Schizosaccharomyces pombe: one gene and its partners. The gene in region 3 interacts genetically with the main gene of each other region. Each region holds a gene or a part of one and is shown on either strand. Other genes may lie near its edges. The genes, in order: pob1, its3 and sec8.

The links.
Region 1: mutations in sec8 (region 3) and pob1 impair growth when combined (synthetic growth defect), as found in Schizosaccharomyces pombe (one study listed by BioGRID).
Region 2: mutations in sec8 (region 3) and its3 are lethal when combined (synthetic lethality), as found in Schizosaccharomyces pombe (one study listed by BioGRID).

The regions. Positions count from the first base shown.
Region 1 is NC_003423.3:4,387,226-4,393,149, reverse strand, and holds pob1 (Boi family protein), read left to right. Parts: upstream 1-1,987; 5' UTR 1,988-1,996; coding exon 1,997-2,128; intron 2,129-2,323; coding exon 2,324-4,807; 3' UTR 4,808-5,354; downstream 5,355-5,924. Other genes in the region: vma10 (V-type ATPase V1 domain subunit G), read left to right, coding at 540-542, 590-628, 676-718, 762-862, 919-1,059; Ran GTPase Spi1, read left to right, coding at 5,834-5,924. UniProt on the Schizosaccharomyces pombe protein: Has a role in cell elongation and separation.
Region 2 is NC_003424.3:4,070,302-4,075,536, reverse strand, and holds its3 (1-phosphatidylinositol-4-phosphate 5-kinase Its3), read right to left. Parts: upstream 3,402-5,235; 5' UTR 3,162-3,401; coding exon 1,411-3,161; exon of another isoform or gene 1,358-1,410; coding exon 1,246-1,357; exon of another isoform or gene 1,243-1,245; intron 1,150-1,242; coding exon 784-1,149; 3' UTR 501-783; downstream 1-500. Other genes in the region: trehalose-6-phosphate phosphatase Tpp1, read left to right, coding at 1-270; protein Poz1, read left to right, coding at 4,781-4,886, 4,924-5,235. UniProt on the Schizosaccharomyces pombe protein: Catalyzes the phosphorylation of phosphatidylinositol 4-phosphate on the fifth hydroxyl of the myo-inositol ring, to form phosphatidylinositol 4,5-bisphosphate. Involved, together with the calcineurin ppb1, in cytokinesis.
Region 3 is NC_003421.2:489,766-497,948, reverse strand, and holds sec8 (exocyst complex subunit Exo4), read left to right. Parts: upstream 1-2,015; 5' UTR 2,016-2,022; coding exon 2,023-2,182; exon of another isoform or gene 2,183-2,226; coding exon 2,227-2,276; exon of another isoform or gene 2,277-2,336; coding exon 2,337-3,946; exon of another isoform or gene 3,947-3,963; intron 3,964-3,994; coding exon 3,995-4,169; intron 4,170-4,210; coding exon 4,211-4,349; intron 4,350-4,399; coding exon 4,400-4,841; exon of another isoform or gene 4,842-4,886; coding exon 4,887-5,117; exon of another isoform or gene 5,118-5,164; coding exon 5,165-5,579; 3' UTR 5,580-5,774; coding exon of another isoform or gene 5,775-7,727; 3' UTR 7,728-7,791; coding exon of another isoform or gene 7,792-7,881; 3' UTR 7,882-7,933; downstream 7,934-8,183. Other genes in the region: kcs1 (inositol polyphosphate kinase), read left to right, coding at 1-1,086; histone H2B-K119 ubiquitin ligase complex (HULC) subunit, ubiquitin-protein ligase E3 Brl2, read right to left, coding at 5,775-7,727, 7,792-7,881.

The DNA of each region.
Region 1 (5,924 bases), on a different chromosome or scaffold from region 3:
AAAGAGCATATAAATAGAAAAATTTGATGTTTTGAAAGTAATGTCTATAAAACATAAATGAGTTATGTTTAGCAATGCTTATATTTGCAAGGATGCTGTATACGCCGTAACAGCATTATTAGATGCACTTGTTAAATTCAGTGCTGCTCGAACGTACTATCATGTAATATTGTAAGATTCAAATGGTTTCTGCTATCTGTTTACTTACAGTTCTTGATCATATGCCTAAAAATGTAAAACAATACCGAATTTACTTATTAAGTTCCAGTTCACCTGAGCAAACAACGGCGCGTTGCCCAACAATTATAACCGAGGATAGTAAGAATCTGATTTTATTATATAGTATCCAAATTTAGGAGCAAACATTATTTCAATCAAAACATCGCATCTTACCATATCGTTAGCGAGTTTAAGAAGATACGGAATTAGTGGATAGCAGAGTAGATAGAGTACGTTACGGAGATCGAGTAGTTTATCAAACCAGTATTACTTCTTCGACCATAGACCCTTCCTCAAGTACGATTAAATTTACAGACATAATGGTAATTTGTATTTTTATTATAAGGAGCAATTTCTGACTTCTTTTTAGAGTGCTCAAACGAATTCTGGTATCCAACAACTTTTAGAGGTAAGTTCAGGTAATTCCAAGATCGTTATTTCTAATGAGATATGTAGGCTGAAAAAGTTGCTAGAAATATAGTCGAAAAGGCTCGCCAACGTAAGTTTAATCAATCGGAGCAACGTTTCTAAAAGATAAAAAGATCGCACTCAAAGATTGAAGGATGCACGTCTTGAGGCTAAACGCGAAATTGATGAATACGCTTCCAAGAAGGAAGAGGAATTCAAAAAGTCAGAAAGTCAGGTAAAGTTATTCAATACAGTTTTTAAGAGTTTGGACAATCAATTTTAACATATCAGGCTTCTGGTATATATAGTCAGGCTGAAGCGGAGAGCAAAAAGCAAGTCCAGGACACATTTGCAAGTATCGAGACAAGCTCCCAGAAGAACTCTGATAAAGTGGTTGATGCTATTTTATCTATAACTTGCAATGTTAAGTAAACTTACTGTTTATTACTAAATTTTTATATACACATTCTTACTATCCTCTGAAGGGAAAACTGTATTTGCAATTTTTAGCAATAAATCACTTTAACGGTAATCATCTAATATTCCCATACATGTATGAAATATTTGCAATTATTAGATCGTAAAGGGTATAGAATTCTGTCTGCGAGGGATGCTGTTAAATAATCATGCATTCAGATAGCTAATGATTCTTATTAAGCAAAATCATATAGTGGACTGTTGATATCCCAGGAATATGGTCAAATACGAGTTTAGCTCATTTTTTATTTTAGTATTGTGAAATATTAGCGAAGTTATCCAATAATTACCTTCAACCGTAGACGGACCTTGTATAAATAATAAGTTACCTGGTTAATACTCGATCGCATTTCCATAATACCTTTGTGGTAGATCAAGTCAATCGACCTCATTACACACGTGAATAAATAAATTAGATACATGTATTATAGTAACTATGCAATTGTCACCCTCATCGTTATACTAAGCGTATTTCAATGGAAACGTAAGCATAATCACAATTCTTAGTTCTTTGGTCCTTCATTTATTCGTTAATATACGAAGATGAGACATTCTATCCTTTGCCTTCAAACGTACCGACATGTATATTAGAAGAAATAAATAAAACACCTATTCAACACCTAATACTACTATTACCCCCACGTAAGTACTGGTTAAACCATGACTAGGTCAAAACACATTCTGCAACACTCTCCTAATGTAATATAACAGACTTGCAGATTTCAAAAAGCAAAGCCCCCACGAAGGTCGTCTTTCCCCACATAGATTATTATCGTTAAAGTGGGCTAAGCCAAACACGGTAAACACTGTTTTGCCAGCCATCAAGATTTAAGCCTTCGATTACAACACCGCATAACCACATAGCTGTGTTTTTTCTGCTTTTACCACAACTATGGCAAGTCAGCGGTTCGTGATTGCTTTGCATTCCTTTCCGGGGAAGAGTAGTGATGAACTTCCGTTGGTTGAAGGTCGGAAGTATCTGTTGATAAAGATGGATGAAGAATTTGGTGATGGTTGGTGGGAAGTAAGTATATAACTTCGAAGTCAAAATCCTATTATTTTTATTCCTGGTATATTTTATAATTTGAAGGATTCTTGATGCCTGCTTTGTACAGTTTTCCAATCCACATAAAGATGCAAACACTATATGTCAAAGTTGCATGCCCTTAGGATTGTGAAACCTTGATATATTTTTATCATACTAACTAAGTTTTAATAGGGAGAAGATGAACAGGGAAATAGGGGTATTTTTCCTGCTTCGCACGTAGAATTGATATCTGATGAGAGGTCTGACTCAAGTGATTCAAGAAGAGGCAAAGAAGATTTCTCCATTTCTACCGCGGAAGTCACAAGATCCTCTTTATCAAGCAGCCGGTCAACTTCTTCACGATCGGACAAGGACAGTGAAAAGTTGTATTCGAATAATTCCTTGTCTTCAAGTCACTCATCAATCTTAAACGGCCCCCTTGATAGTCTTTCGAAACCTTCGGTCCCTAGTAATTTTAACTCAATGTTTCCATCTTCTAAACAAGAAGGCCCTTCCCCTTTGTTGGATAACCAACCTTCCTCAGATCTATCAAACTTCAACACTATTGATGCCGATTATAATAATGCTTCTGCTTCTACTTCTGCTCCTGCTACTTCAGCAAGCTTGAAAAAGGTTTTGTCAGCTGAGGATTCCGTTAGAGAAACTATTACAGATATTGAAACAGCTTTACAGAATATGTCAACTTCAGCATCTCGTACTCCAAATGACAGTTCACCTTTGCCCTATATTGAAAATCGACCTGCATCCTCTCTTGCTGTTTCCGAAAAAATTCAAAATGTTCCTAACTGGTCTACGGAAGAGGTAGTTGAATGGCTTATGAATGCCGGCCTTGGATCAGTAGCTCCTAATTTTGCGGAGAATGAAATAACCGGTGAAATTTTATTAGGCTTAGATTCCAATGTTTTGAAAGAACTTAACATTACTTCTTTTGGAAAACGTTTTGAAGTTTTACGAAAGATCCAACAATTAAAAGATTCATACGAACAATCTTTATATGAAGAATATCCGCAGTTTGCTGAGCCTATTTCTGTTAGCCAAAGTTCTGATTCCTCCTCTTCTATTCCAAAAAAATCTAATGATGAAGCCGGCGGTTCACCATCAAAATCCAGTCCAACTCGTCCGGGATTTAACGATTATGTTAATCGTCCGACTAGTGTGATGCCTTCTTTGTCAAATATGATTGTTTCACCTGATTTGGACTCATCTCCATCTACCGATTGGAACCAATACGTGATTCCTCCTTTAGCCACACCAAGTTCGCGCAATTCTAAGTCTACGCAATCTGCGGTCCCTGAAAATGTATCTCGTTTTGATTCTAACGAACCTTCGGCCACATCACCGATATTAAAACGTTCATCCCCTACGGACTCAATTTCTCAAAATAGCGGTTTACCTTCTCGTCTTACTGAGCCCATCTCTTCTCCTTCTACCAGTAGCATTGATGTTGATAAGGAAGGAACTTCATTTCCTGGTTTACCTTATCATTCATCTAAGGGCAACTTGTATGCTCCTCAACCATCTTCTAACGTTCCTACTAAATTTACGGGCGGTGCATCGGAATCTTCTTCCGTACCTCCTAGACCTATTCCAAGTGCTATGAAAGGAAAAGCACCAGCTTCAGCTATATCTATCGAAGCTTTGGAAGAATTGGATCCTCCAAAGATTACTACTATTGATGGTGAAAGTCCTTCATCGATAAGTTCTCGACTCCCTAGTAGCAATCTCGAACAAGGGAGTTCAAGTTCTGTTACTAAGTCACCTGAATCAATGCCAGACCCATCAGCAAAAGCATCATCGCCTGTCACAAGCAAAGGGGTGTCCATAAACGAAAAATCCGCTGTTAATAATTATGCCACTCCTCTTTCAAAACCTCAACCCAAAGATACGAAGGGCTCAAAATTAGGAAATACTTTTGTTGCTCCATCTCCGGCTGCTTCCTTACCCGCTTCACCTCCAGTCGGCACTGAGTTAAAGACTCGTCCAACCCTTCGTTCTGTTGCTTCATCACCATTAAATAAAGAGCCAATAGGTAAACGAAAGTCGAAACGTGATATTTTTGGGAGACAAAAGGTTTTACCTACTGGAATTAGTGAAGGATTAAGTAATATACCTGCCAAAGAAGCAATTAAAACGGCGGACTGTCATGGTTGGATGCGGAAACGTAGTGATCGTTACGGTGTTTGGAAGTCTAGATACTTTGTATTAAAAGGAACAAGGCTTTCTTATTACCATTCATTAAATGATGCTTCAGAAAAAGGCCTAATTGATATGACTTCTCATCGTGTTACGAAAACCGATGACATTGTTCTAAGTGGAGGCAAAACTGCTATCAAGTTAATTCCACCTGCTCCAGGTGCCGCTAAAGCAGCAGTTATGTTCACTCCACCAAAGGTTCATTATTTTACTTGTGAAAATAATGAAGAATTACATCGTTGGTCTTCGGCTTTTCTCAAGGCTACTGTGGAACGCGATATGTCGGTACCTGTTTTGACAACGTCGAGAATGCCTACCATTTCACTTAGCAAAGCTAAAGAACTTCGTACTAGGCCTCCTTCTCTATTAATTGATGATGAAAATGAAGCAAATCTCACTTCTTCGATTGGATTAAAGAAGAATGCAAAACAAAAGAATAAGAAATCAAGCAAGCAAAAATAAATACCGACACTCCTCAAAATCCACAAAAGCAAAGTGCAACACATTCCAATTCTAAAACCTGCGCAACAGACCCTGTTCTTAGTATCTGGTTTTCCTTAATCTATTTTCAAACTAAATATCCCTTCAAAATTGAAAACATAGCTAATATGTTTGAATTTTAAATTCGTTGATGCTTTTACTGCGGACATATTTGACACCAATTTAAGAATTAACCGGGCATATTTGATACGCTCATTTCGATTCTGGTTTACCGACATTTACTAGCGGAAGCTATAGTATCTTCATCATGCACATATGGCTTATTTAACGTTGAATTATTTGCTTTTATCTTTTATTGCATAAATTTTTAAAAGCAAATGCATCATTCTATTAATTCAGCATTTTTTTACTGATAATTTTCATTTGTTTGTCGACTTCCTACCACTTTCGTTTGTTTTATTTTTAATCTTTATTTCGATCATTTCGATCCAGCTGAGTCCACGCTGGTAGCGGACCTGGATCATTGCAGAATTCGTAGGCCTTTTACTAGTGATACTAATATAGCTAATGAAAATTTAGAATGTTTGTTTTCTATGTATGGGCATTCCTGGCATTCCTTGGATTAGCAAATACGTTTTCTTGGCTGCGGTTTTTTATCTTTACATGCAATCAAAACCGTGTAGTGACGTCCAAAAAGTAAGCATTGGCTGCTTGTAAGTTGTGTATAAACCCAGAATGTATAAGCAAGTACGCACAAATGTAGCTTTTCGTAGAAGCAATTCTTTTTTGAAATTTCAAAAACGACACTATATCCATTTTTTGGCGATCAACTTCAATAAGAGCAATAGTCAAACTCGTTAAACAATTCGTTAAATCGGCATTAAAAAACTATACCATACACTCCCTTTTCTGTTAAATTCCAATCGACTATCAGGGTTAGGGTTTTGTTATACCCAGGTCTTTTATTCATATAAAAATTACGCACCACTAAAATTTTCCTTTAACCAAACTCTCAGTTAGTTTAGGTGCAACAGAGAAAAGTTTAGTATGGCTCAACCACAAAACGTTCCTACCTTTAAGCTTGTACTTGTCGGCGATGGTGGTACCGGTAAGACCACGTTCGTCAAGCGTCATTTGA
Region 2 (5,235 bases), on a different chromosome or scaffold from region 3:
CCTTCCAGTATCAACAAAGGAGGAATTGTCAAACAGATTTTAAGTTCGTATCCAGAAGATTCACTTCCTTCTTTTATCTTTTGTGCAGGTGATGATAGAACTGATGAAGATATGTTCCGCTCTTTGCATAAAAACACTCGTATTAACAAGGAAACTTCATTTGCAGTTACCATTGGATCCGACAAAAAGCTTTCTATCGCCGACTGGTGTATCGCAGACCCTGCAAATGTTATTGATATCCTTGCTGATTTGGCAAATTTTACTAACTGAATGACAAACTAACTATTTCAACGAAGATGCCCGATTCATCTTGTTCTTTACAAAGATTTATTTATTGAGACACACAATCCTGGATCTTAGTTCAGCCTTTAAATTAATTTATGCTCTAGTTATTTATGTTTAGTTGAGAGGTCTTCGTAATTGAACTACTTCCACTACTATGAATCGCTCTTTTCTAAGTACATACGTTTACTCGTTACAAAAGCATACTTTCTTCCTAATGAATTTTAAGTTATATCATAATAATATAGCTTTTTGACAAAGATTGGTGAGGAACTGACGAACATAAGTTATTTGAGATGTAAATAATAAAAGCGCTAATTAGAGCAATAAGTTATAGGTTGTGCATCCGTTAATGCACTTCGGCATACATGCTTTGCTTTGTTTTTTCTCTAAAATAAAAAGATAAATTAGCCAATATATACAAGAATAAAAAGGTGGTAAAGCATTATAAATAAATGCATTAAACTTGAAATATGTGCACTTCAAAGACATTAAAATTTATTAAGATGAAGAAGTGTTCGTAGTAACATTGCGGCATGGGAATGGAAATCGGTGTTCTGTTTTGGGTGATTTATGAGCAGAAGTGCTTTTAGCATTGCGAGAAGAAGGAGCTGTATTATTATTAAGAGAACCATGCTTGTTATTAGTGCGCACATTGCCAGCATTAACGCTTTGCTGTTTGTTAACACGCTGGCCATCCTGCGGTTTTAAGGGGAATGGTTTCAAAACTAAAAGAGTTGGCTTAATACTTGACTCTACAAATTTGTAGAAGCGTGAAGCGTATTCAGCAGGTGGAACAGCAGAAATGACAGAATCTGAATGATTAATGCCCTTCCATAAATGCTCAACGCGCTTAACATATGAATACTAAACACCGGTAAGTATAATGAAAATAAAAGCAAACAAGGAAAACAAGTAAAAGACTTTGCATTCCCATAAAAAAATTTACGCAATTTATCATACCTTAGTAAGTAAGTCAATTATTCCGATATAAAAGATAAAGTTTCCTGGCTCATTGTTTTCATCGGTGGCTTGGAATCCACCGTCATCACTGTAGAACATGAAGTTTCTTCTCCTAAAATAGTGTTAAAAAATAGTCTAATTGTTAAAAAAATAATAAGCACTTACTCAACGAACTGGTCGGTCGGCAATAGATTACAAGATTGATCCAACGAAACAGGACCGGTGCTATTAACGACTTGTCTGATTACATGAACGTTTGAGTGAGATTCATTGCCATTAATCGAGGGCACTCGATGTTGCGACACATTTGGGTCGTAAACTGACAGAATGCTATTACGAATTTTGTCACGATTACCACGTGAAAGGTCATGGATGCCGACAAGTAAACTGTAATCCATAATTCCTAAAGAGGACAGCATATCAATATCGGCTTTGACCTGAGTTAAGAATATCTGACGCTTTAAAGGACCAAACTGAAGATGCATATTTCTGCGAATCCAATTTGTATCTTTCATTGTACACATGGGACTTTGACAAGGTTGATTTTCGTCGAGTTCCCTTCCTAGGGTGGATCCTTTGAGATCAAAAGTTTGGTGGATATCACGATGAGGTGGGAAAAGGTTGTTCATTACAACAAAATGGATTTTTCGGCCAAAGGGTAATTTTACCCTATGCAACCCATAAAATTGCGAAATCAATGTGTTCGGATTATTCTTGACGTGTTCGTAGTAATCATAAAGAATTTCACGCAAAAATTTGTGCTCAGAGTGATGGATTGTTTTAATAATGAATCGATAGTCACGAGAAAAATAAAAAAAAGAACCACTTTTCCCAGGAGAATCTAACTCAGACAAAATGTACTTACTGGTAAGAGATACAAGATAATCTGCAGCATCTAAATGAAACAGCTGCCTTAGATGTCTAAATACCCAAGGTGCATAATCTTTGAACTTAAAATCATACTTGGCGGAGGGAGTGAGTTCGTTGCCAGTAATGTCAAAGGTAAACTTGTGACGAGCAGTAAAATCAGCAGGAGTAAGCTCACGGTCCATTTTCGCTTGGCAACGAGAAACACCGACGCGAATTCCAGTAAGCATGTTGTACGCTGTAACATAGTTTTCATGGCCCTCTGAAACTCTAGTTCCAACGAGAACGCACTCATCGTCCAGTTCTTCCCTGCGACGGCGCATGTTAACACGTTTTTGTTTGACTGCTTCAGCCCAGCTAGCAGAGCCAATATCGGGGGGAATGCCATCCAAAAGAGAACCCGAGGTACTGACGTTGGTACCTCGGTCGCCGGATCTCGAGCCAGAAGGTTCAGCGTTGCTAGAATTTTTTTCGGAGTAAGATCGCTTTAGCGGCCGCTTCGCCTTCTGCGAGGAGCTGAGCGTGGAACGATCATTAGGTGGCTGCTGAGATGAGGTTACAGGGTTGGAGGAAGAGCGATCTATGGGGGCGCGAGAAGGTTGAGGAGAGGATAATTGATGCTTTAAATTTTGTAATTGGGGAGAAGAGGAAGAATTGGAGGAAGGAGGCTCGAGGGCACTTACGATGGGAGAATCTCTCAAGATACCATCAGGTACGCCAGTAGCCGTAATTACCGAATCGTTAGAAGAGGAAGAAGGAGAGTGGGCAGTGGGATTTGAGGGGAAATCTTGATTTTCCTTAAATAATGAATCGTTAGGTTCATAAATATGGGTCTCCGACCGAACTTCGATTTTGGGGTTGGTATGAAGAACATCGTGGCGCATCGTACGTTCGAAATCGTTTTTATGGGATATCAAATCCTTTTTTTGAAACGTACCATTTGGAGCAAAAGCATTCCCATTCAAATCGACAGCCTGCTTTTCATCATACGAAGGGATTTCGTTCGTTATAGAATGCGGATTCACTATGCCGTTTGAATCAATTTTCATTAGTGTTTCCTACAAACATATATGAAGAGTTAAAAATTTACTCGCCAATGGACTCCAAACACAATTTTTGATTCCGTTTTTTAACAAACAATTTGAAGACGTCAATTTCGTCGTTTTTCAGTTCCTACAAAAGCAAGTTTTTTCCCAAGTTATTCAAAATGTTTTAATTTACCGAAAAGAGCAGCTTAATTCTCTTTTTTATCAACTCTTTCACCGCAAAACACTTGATACCAGCGAAGTGTTGTTTCTACCAGTTTCTTCCCTAGATATATAAAGTCACCGGAGTTCACCGAATTGTCCGGCACATTCTCCAATAATTCGCACTAATGGCAGTAAATGGATAAAATTATCGCTTTCTGTATGGGAAAGGAGCAATCCCGAATTTACCAAGCCAAAAACTTCTGAAACCCAGTTCCATTATTGCGAATAGTCCATAAGCTTGCGATGTTTGAAGTCGTTGACAACGTCGATTTCGTTGAATGTAAACAAAACGAATCTGCTCAACGTAAACAAAAGCATCGATATGGGTGTGTTGCGTGAAGAGCTGGATGCTGTAAATCCAATTTTATAAAGGCTTACTTTTTAGAACCTCTATTAATCAATTTATAATGATTAAGCTTGCATGGATAAGTACAGCAAATGATTGAGCTATTTTGAAAATCTAAAGATTTGAAATTTCCTTAAAAAAAAAATAAATAATAAAATAAAGTTAAAAAAAATTAAAGTAAGATACACATAACGTATACTTCGTTTATTTCAAACATATCAATTTATTTTTATTTTCCAAAAATATATATATATATATATATTTAACAAAAAGAAAAAGGAAATATCCAATATTCCTTTTCTTCGTTCTCAAGTTTACTTTGAATGTCTATAATATAAAGAAGCTAGCACTGAATATTCAACTTTAAGAATCCATTGAAATTATAATCAAAGGACAGTATCTAATGTTTTTTGTCTTACTAGATAGATAATTGCTTTTCCCATTCCTTCGGGTTTTGTGCACAAGTAAATAAAGAACTTCGGATAGAATCTTAAGAGGCTTGGGTAGTAAAAACATTCAATCAGATGGATCATTTAGTTCTAGCAAATAACAAATTAGAGTAATTTTTGAGATTGAATAAGGAAAAATATCTTGGAAGAAATGATCAATCGCCTAAAGCATGTTTATTTCGTAAGCTTTTCATGTCTTAAGGCACAAACACCACCGTGATCCAAGGTAATTGGCATAGCGTTATGAAAATGAAGGACTTAAAATGGAGAGTAAAATTTATTCTTTTGTCACGCCAAAGTCGATCTTCCATTCAAATACTTTTTTCATTTGGAAATTTTGCTTACCGCTTTTTTGGATAAAGCAGTTCACTGTTTAAGGGAATAATTTATAACATTAAACAAAATACACTTCTTTAAGGAGTTAAATTCGTCTTCTGTACGATGTTCCAAGAAACATAACAGTAGACAAAGCTATTCGATCCATTCGTTTTTAGATTTCTTTATTAAATGATTTATTTTCTCTTACGGAATGGTATTCATTTTATCTCGTAGACCAACTTACATTGACTTTACCAACTTTTTATACTTTTATCCTTCGTGTATAGATTAGTTTTTTCCATAAAATGAATGAGAAGATTCGTTCACAATCTGTGCTGAATACACTAGAAACGTTTTTCATCAAGGAAAATCATTATGATATGCAGAGAGAAGAATCTTCCATTGTGAACGGTATGAAAGCCAATCTTGAAAATCATTAACCAATTAGCCTGCTTACGATATTTGGGTTATTCGAAATCAATGTGTCATGAAAAAATGCCGATATTCATGGATATCGCATTCATTGAGTATTGCTTCAATCTTTCGCTTGACCCTTCTTCATTTCAAAACCTTCCGATTACCCAAACTCAGCCGGATAGTCAACAAATTCTTTGGGAATATTCTCTTATTAGCAATGCTTTAGAGAGGCTAGAGAATATAGAACTGGAACGCCAAAATTGTATGAGGGAAGATGGCCTTGTTAAATACACTAATGAACTTTTACTTAATAAAGAAACTCTAAACAATGAAGCTTTGAAAT
Region 3 (8,183 bases):
GATTATGATTCAAGGGAGTCAACAGGACATACAATAAAGGAACTACGAAGTACACCGAACTCGCATGGAACTGTACCCGATGACTCTATTTTTGCTATGGACAATGAAGAAAACAGCGAGTTACCTCCACCTCTAGAACCAGCAGAAATTGGAGATCCATTCAGGAGCGTAAATGATCCTAGGCGAGTACTCTCTCTTCCACACATGGCATCCGCCGATGAAGATCACCGGATTCCAGCAAGCGATAATCAAAACAATAATAATAATGATGCTAATGCCCTCGCGGAAAATTCGGAATCTCAACATTCTACCCAGATTGAGAGATATATTGTGATTGAAGACTTAACGAGTGGAATGAAAAGACCTTGTGTGTTGGATGTCAAGATGGGTACTAGACAATACGGAATAATGGCTACGGAGAAAAAGAAAGCCTCACAAACTAAAAAGTGTGCGATGACTACATCTCGAGTTCTTGGTGTCCGAATATGTGGAATGCAAGTTTGGCATCCTTGGCTTCAATCATATACATTTGAAGATAAGTATGTAGGTCGTGATATTAAAGCAGGAGAGGAATTTCAACACGCATTGATGCGTTACTTAGGGAAAACGGATGACGATGAAGACAATAGCCATCTCTTGGTGCATCATATTCCCACGATAATTAGAAAGCTAGAGCAGTTAGAGCAAATTGTTAGGTTTCTTAAAGGATCCCGCTTGTATGCTAGTTCATTACTATTTTTATATGATGGGGAGCCGCCGCCAAGCGACAAATCCAGCAAAGAAAAAGTCAAGCCTCGTGAAATTGACATTCGGATTGTTGATTTTGCCAATTGTGTTTTTGCTGAGGATAAAGAGCTTTTAGCAAAAGCTACATGTCCTCCTCAACACAAAGACACGTATGATCGAGGATACGTACGAGGTTTACGGACTTTGAGGCTATACTTTCTAAAAATATGGAAGGAAGCTAAGGGAATGCAAATTGCGGAACGGGGCTATGAAGACAGTCTCTCTAATGCTTACGATGAACTTGGGGGATTGATGAGTTATTCAAATGATGATGACTCTTGCGGAGAGACGTCTACCTAATAATTCAAATGGTAGCTTTAAAATGTTGCTTGATGCATTTAGTTTCAAAGCACTCTAGAACTTACATTCATCGCTTTGTTGAATATTTCTTGGCAAAAGTGTTTATCGATAGTTTGCGCACTGAGTTGTTCATTGAGCTCGGAAGCTTGAGACCCGCTATTTATTTATATTACTTCAAATTGGCAATCCGTTATATAAAGAAGTCGTTAGTCTTTCATCTTTCTGTTTCGTTAAATTTCTTAATTCAGTGATTGTAACGAAGCTATGACAGTTGGAATCTTCTTGGATTATAAATTTTTTTTCCGCCCCCATTTGTTGTGTTGTTTGTGTTACAAGGATTACTGGTTTTAATACTTGTATCCTTCTAATGCCCTTAATCTCTCTTTTACTTTCTTATCTTTTAAGATTGTCATGTGTTGATTTTTGTAATGGAGAAAATGCATATTGAGATTGCGCATTTTTAACCGTTCTTTCTTTTTTAGTTTTTTTGTTACATCTGCACCCCTTTATTCTGACTTTTATTTTGGTCTTTGGCATTGCTCATATTATTATTCTCTTAATCATCTCATCATACCTTATTTTTTTATTATGGCATAGTTATTTATCAAAGTACTTTTCTGCGAAGTATCTTAATTTGCCTTTTCTTGGATGCTTGATTTTTCTGTTTATATTAGTATTATTTCGTGGTAGTAGTAGCTTAGTTACACCCTTATCATTCTTTTCTTATACAATAGTCCATCACCCCCATTAACTCTGAAACACATACAGAGTTCTTTTGCATGCTCCTTGTCAGTATAAAGTATTAAATCAAGGTGCGCTGTAATAAATAGCAGTGCGTTGGTCCACGTAATTCATATAGTGATTTCTTAGCTCTCCTTTCAAAGATAATACAGTCAATAGACATATCAAGCTAAAACTACTGACTATTTGACTTCCATGGATACCAGAGGCTATTCGGAAACGAAAAAAGGAAGGTATCCAGTGGGAAAGAAAAGCTTGGAATCTCCTAACGGCTACTCAAATTATGGAACTAGCATGGACAATGAATTGAGTTCAGAGTATGCATCGCGTGGAATGCACATAGGCGATTTAGAAAGTAAGGTGAAGCAGCAGGGAGTTTTGATTTAACCTTTATGCTAGATTTAGTAAATGAAATTGAGGATGAATGGAAAGACCTGGGAAGAGAAGACGTATGTTGCGTGAATAAGTGAAGATTGGAGGATGTTTGAATTTACTAACGAATGGTTAAGTATCAACCGATATCTACAGCGTTGGAACTATTAGATGACAGTAGCTTTGGAAGAGATTATAAGTCTTTTCTGAACGTTTACGATCGAATTAGTGCTGCATTACAAACGATTGCCCATACTCATAAAGATGACTTTACTCGAGGTATATCGGCTTATGGAGAAATAATGGAGGGAATTCAGAAGTGCAATTCGAGAATCATAGCATTAAAGCAATCCCTTGAGGCTTCGCAAGAATGCATTGGTAATACTAATAGCAAAGAGCTTCAACAAACATTGGCTCGTAGTTCTCAATACAAAAAAGTCATAAGTGTGCTCAAGGAACTTAATGAAGCCAACCAGCTGTTTGACAACTTTCATACGCTTGTTGATAGCAAGCAATATTATCATGCCAGCGATTTAATACGTCGTGTATGGGATGAATTAAGTCGTTCTGATTTTGACGGAATATTAGTAGTGGAGCAGTTTAAAAGTCGGATGACAGGACTCTTGTCACATTTAGAGGACATTCTATCTGAAGAGTTGGTTTCAATTACTTTCCTTAAAGATGCTGTCGCTTATCCCATAGTATCGTACTGCTCTCCAAATCCGCTGAGGGAAACTTCCAACCCATATTTTTTGAGAGATTTTTTAAAAAACAATGCAAATACATCAACTCTGGGCCAAAGTGAGCAATTGCGTTACCTAGAAGAAGCGCTTTCTTTAAAGTTGTCGGATTGCTTAAAAATGGATTATGGTAGAGACAGTTTACGTGATATACGTATTGTTTTGGAGTCATTGAATTTATTGGGAAAACTCCCCAATGCTATTTCATCTTTAAAGTCTCGTACTTCTGCGGAGATGTTTACTACGGTAGATTCTACTTCACGTGCAATCGTTAACAAATATTCACTCGGTAATAACGTTTCTACCGTTAATCCCTTTTCAAAATCACTTTATGATATAGGTTTGCACGCTGAGACTGATAGAGAGCATACTATGATTTCCGAGTTCTTGACGAACTTATTTACAAAATTAAGGTGTGTTTTAATGCATTATCGCGGTATCTCCGAATTCATGACCAAATTAGAGACTAAAACACCAAAGCATGCTTCATCTTCTCACAAATCTAGCATTATGTCTGTTAACTCGGACCCCACAAGCCCAAAGGTATCAAAATTTGATACTTCTGATAGCACGTTTCCATTTGATACGTTGCTGCAAGCATTCGAGAGCGAAATTAGGTTAATGTTAAAAGATTATCTTATTTCCAAAGAAGAGTATATTGAAAATAGTGGAAATTTCGTTGTTGGAACTGAGATGTCCATATACAACCTCCCTGGCGAAAATGAAGAAGATAAACTTTTCGACGTAACAAACGAAATTGCTGTGGAGAACAAAAGTAATGCGTTTTATGCCAGAATAAATGAGTTGGTTAACGAAAAGGCTCCAGAGCTTATTCTTAATAAATCAAATGCTTCAGTTTCCACTATTGAACTATTTTCTGGAAGTTCGAAAGAAATTGTACGTTTGGCTGGCCACGTTGTATTTGTTGGGCCTTCGGTTTTTCATGCTTCGTCTGTCCTACCTCAAACCGTATTCTTTTTGGAAGACAGTGTGTCTATTTTGAAAAAGTACGTCAATTAAGTTGAGTTTGGATTATTTTGCTAACAAAAATTTAGCCCAAATATACCTCCTCAGTTTGCTGTTAATTTTATGAAAGAATTTTTAAGGGGAAGTTACATTCCACAATTATACAAGTTTATGTCGAGTCACTTTGACACCATAATGAAAGACGTGGGTGCGTTCCAATTGCACAGAGATTGGAAGATATACTCTAAAATCCCAATTTTTAAGGTATAGTCTCATTAAGAAGCTACGATTAACGTTAATTTTAGTGCCATGTGGCTATTGTTCAATATTTTCACGATCTTCAAGATTATTTGCCTATTGTTGCATTAAATTTGGTAGAATTTTATGAATTATTACATACTTTGCTTGTTCGTTTTCGCAACCATTGTTCTGATTATCTCTCTGGTATGTTTCATTTCCATTTTTTCACTGTTTCCCCAGCTTACCCTTTATAGATTTGTGCAGAACGGCTGTTCTCAAAGAATACAAACATGTCAACGAGGATACTGAAGATGTCGATGATACTGTTCGAGTAAAGCTACTTCACGACGATGTAACGTACCCTCAATTTATTAAATTCCTCAAGCAAAAAAATCCATCACTTGAAGGGTTAAATGAGCTTTGTCGAATGGAGAATAAGCGTTTATTACAATATGAAGATCGTGCGATTACGTCCGAAGTTAAACTTCCGGTATCGGTTTTATCCAAAGATTCCGACCTAGTGAACTCGGTTTCTTATCTTCATAACTCCATGGAATGGTTTCTTCAGCGCTGTTTTTCAAGATTTATGAACGGTTCGCGAAGAATGAACGTTTTGCAACAAAACCAAGCTAATTTCGGTGGTGACTTTTTACCAATTGATAATTTGTTGGGTAATAATTCGGATTTAATGAAGGGGTATGTTACTGTATGTATTGAACTTTATACTGATTTTTATAAAAGTGCATATAAAGAAGTCTTTGATTCTTTACAGAGGCTCCAATTCGATGCTTTACTGCTAATCCGAATGGAAGTTCGGTTACAGTACATTCATAGTATTAATCAAAGTGTAAACCTTCCTGACTATGTTGTCGAGTACCGCGGAAGACCAGATGCTTCGATAATGGCTCTCAACTCTACTATTGTGACGACGAATTTGAAACTCGAAACCTGTTTGAATGAATGGGAACGAAGGTAAATAACAAATGAATTCCTTATATTGATTTGCTAACTTTTTATAGGTTTGTATTCCAAGGTCTGAGTGAACTGGTTGATTCATCGCTATACTCTATCTTTTACAAAATAGAATCAATGAATAGAGGCAGCTGTCTTCAGATGCTGAAAAATATGTCAGCAATGATTCAGATTCTTAAGACGGTTAAGGAAATTCATGGCGACGTTGAATTTCCTAAATCTTCTAGAGTCTTTGGAATATACCAAAATGGTGCCAAGAAAATTATCGAGCACTTCATTGCTGCCCCCAAAAAGGAACTTTTGCCTGACGTTAAACAGATGGTCCGAATTTATTACCAGCGATTAATGAAAGATGCAAAAAGAAACGGAAGGGACGATCTTTATCGGCAGTATCAGAAAAAGATTGGCTCGGTTTTAACTCAGTTCGACAACACTGTGGGTGGTGCGAGAAAAAATCCTTAACCGTATAATATAGAATTTTAATTATAATGACGAGTAATGATTTTATAATAATAAATTTATTAACTAAAAACATAGATGCATTGGATAGTTTAAAAACTACGTGACCTAGTTTCAAAGATTATATTAAGGAAAATGATTTGTTATATATACAGCGTTTTCCTGAAAGACATAATTTACACAAATAAAACATATTCTTCAAAGATGTATCGGAATAACATCAGAAGCACCAAATCCACGACCGCAAATCGGGCATCTGCGTTGCCGTGTTTCAATCCGTTTTTGTATGCATTGGTAACAAAAGCCATGACCACAGAGAGAAATAATTCGATCTTTCCAGCGCTCGAAGTTACAAACTGAACACTTACACATGGCCCTAAAAGTTTTTAACTCTTCAGCTGACGTTGATACCCCAGTATCCTTTAACTTTCGCTTCTCTTTTTCATGCTCTTCATCTTGCTTGGAAAGTATATCTATAGAAGATGATAAATCTGAGCATTGAAATTCAAGGTCTGTTAATGTAGCATTATTTTTATCCATAAATTGCTGTAAATAAGACACCTTTTCTTCCAGGTTTTGAATAGTTGATTTTTGAGATGACTTTTTGACTTGAAACGTTGTTGATTGTTTTATAGAGTTATTTCGAACCGATGATAGACGGGCTAGCTGATCTTCAAACTCTATTATTCTATGGACAGCAGTGTCTTGGCTATTTAACATTTTTGAGATAATTTCGTTGGTCTTCTGGTACTTCTGGCGCAGTAACTTTACTTCAGCATGAAGACTATCTGTAGACTTCATGGTCAGAAAATATTTTTGCTCCGCCTTTTCCTTTTCGACACTAAATTTGGTTATCAATTCTTGATAATGGGAGTGGCTACTTTTCACAGTTTGCTGTTTTACCAACCTAAATGCTTTTTCAGTAGAAGCCAACTCTTTAGAAAGGTAAGTTGACAGATCTTTTTGTAACTCCAAATCGTTAAGGTCTACGAGCCGGATTTTGTTTGCAGCTTCACGGGTAGCCACCGCTTTTTTCTTTTCCAATACCATTGTCTCTAAATTCGCAAGTTCATCTAACTTGTCTTTGTAGACCTTCTCTTTTTGCTTTTTAGCTTCCAACTTCTTTTCAAGGGATAAGCTTAATTCAGTCTTTGCGTTATTAATTCTTTTTTCATCGTTTTGCATAACAGATATTTGATGATCAAGATCGTTTATTAACGGCTGATAGGAAGATTCAAAAACACCGTTAAAATTCTTTGACTGTTGCGACAATACATTTATTTCGTGAGAACATTCGGACAATAAGTGCTCTAATACGCGTAACTGCTCAGATGTCATAGAAACAGCTTCTTTAAGTGCTAAAAAGGAAGAGTATTTTTTCAAGTTTGTAGTTTCGACGTTGTTTAATGCGTTTTCTCGTTCCATAATTAATTTATCCATTTCATTAACGTTCGAATCCAAAATTTTAAGGCTTTGTGAGCGAGACTCCATTAAACCATTTTGTTGGTCTTGAAGCCTGGATAATTGTTGCAGTTGAGTACGTTGTTCAACCGTGCTAACTTTCTTTTCTTCATCTTTCCCCTTAGAGGAGGTGGTTGCTTCCTCTTTCACTTTAGTAGACTGGGGTCTCACTGATTCATTAATGCATTGCAAAGTAAAACTAGACGAGCGATCTGGTAGTTTTATAATTGAATGAAGCTGAGACCGAGTGGTATCCAATTCATCTAAAATCTTGTCAATATCCAAATTAATGGTGTTTAATTTCTCAGTAAGGGCAGAGTCATCAATTGATAAAACTGAAAAAGGATCTCTGGAGACCGAATTTGTGCTTGAGTCAACAGTAGACAAGAGTTTTTGAATGATGCTCAAGGCTTTAGTTTTATTATTTTTCACAGCGTCATTGAAGTATGAAAGCTCCGGGAATTTCTCCAAAATCGAAAAAACACCTTCACTCTCGAAGTCCTTCAGCTCATTGCCTTGAAACACAACGCTAAACTGCTGAAGTATTTCAGGCCACCAAGAGACCAAAGTAGCTAAAACTTTTAATTTCTCTTCTGCTAAATTTTGAAGTCCCTCTATTTTACTTTCTAACTCATCAAATTGAATGCTCCTCACTCTTACATCCTTTAATAAGTCTTCTTTAGAGACTTCCTTTAACAGAGTTAGCGACATGTCTTAACATTCGAATGCCTAAAGGCTCAACACGTTAACATACCTGAATATCATCATCTTGTATTTCTACATCTTCAAGTTCTCTTTTCTGGCCTAAGATTGTGGGGGCATCTGGTTTACCATTCTGATACATTCTCGAAAGTCGTATACATCAACCTATCAATATAAATTTCCTTTTTTTCAGAACAATTTGTTTTTTAACGAAAAAAGAAAACAGCCAAAACCTAAAAGACAGACTGTATTTTTCTTATACTAAACGTAATAACGCGTAATGAATAAGCAAGTTATAGATACGCGTCTTTACAGATCTATTTCAAATTCTCCTTCTTAGTTGAAACTTGCCGTATTGAAAATATGCAATTCGAAGCGAATTAAGTTAATTGCCATTCAATACAATAAAATGGGTAAAAGTGAAGTGGTAGAGGGCAGACACGA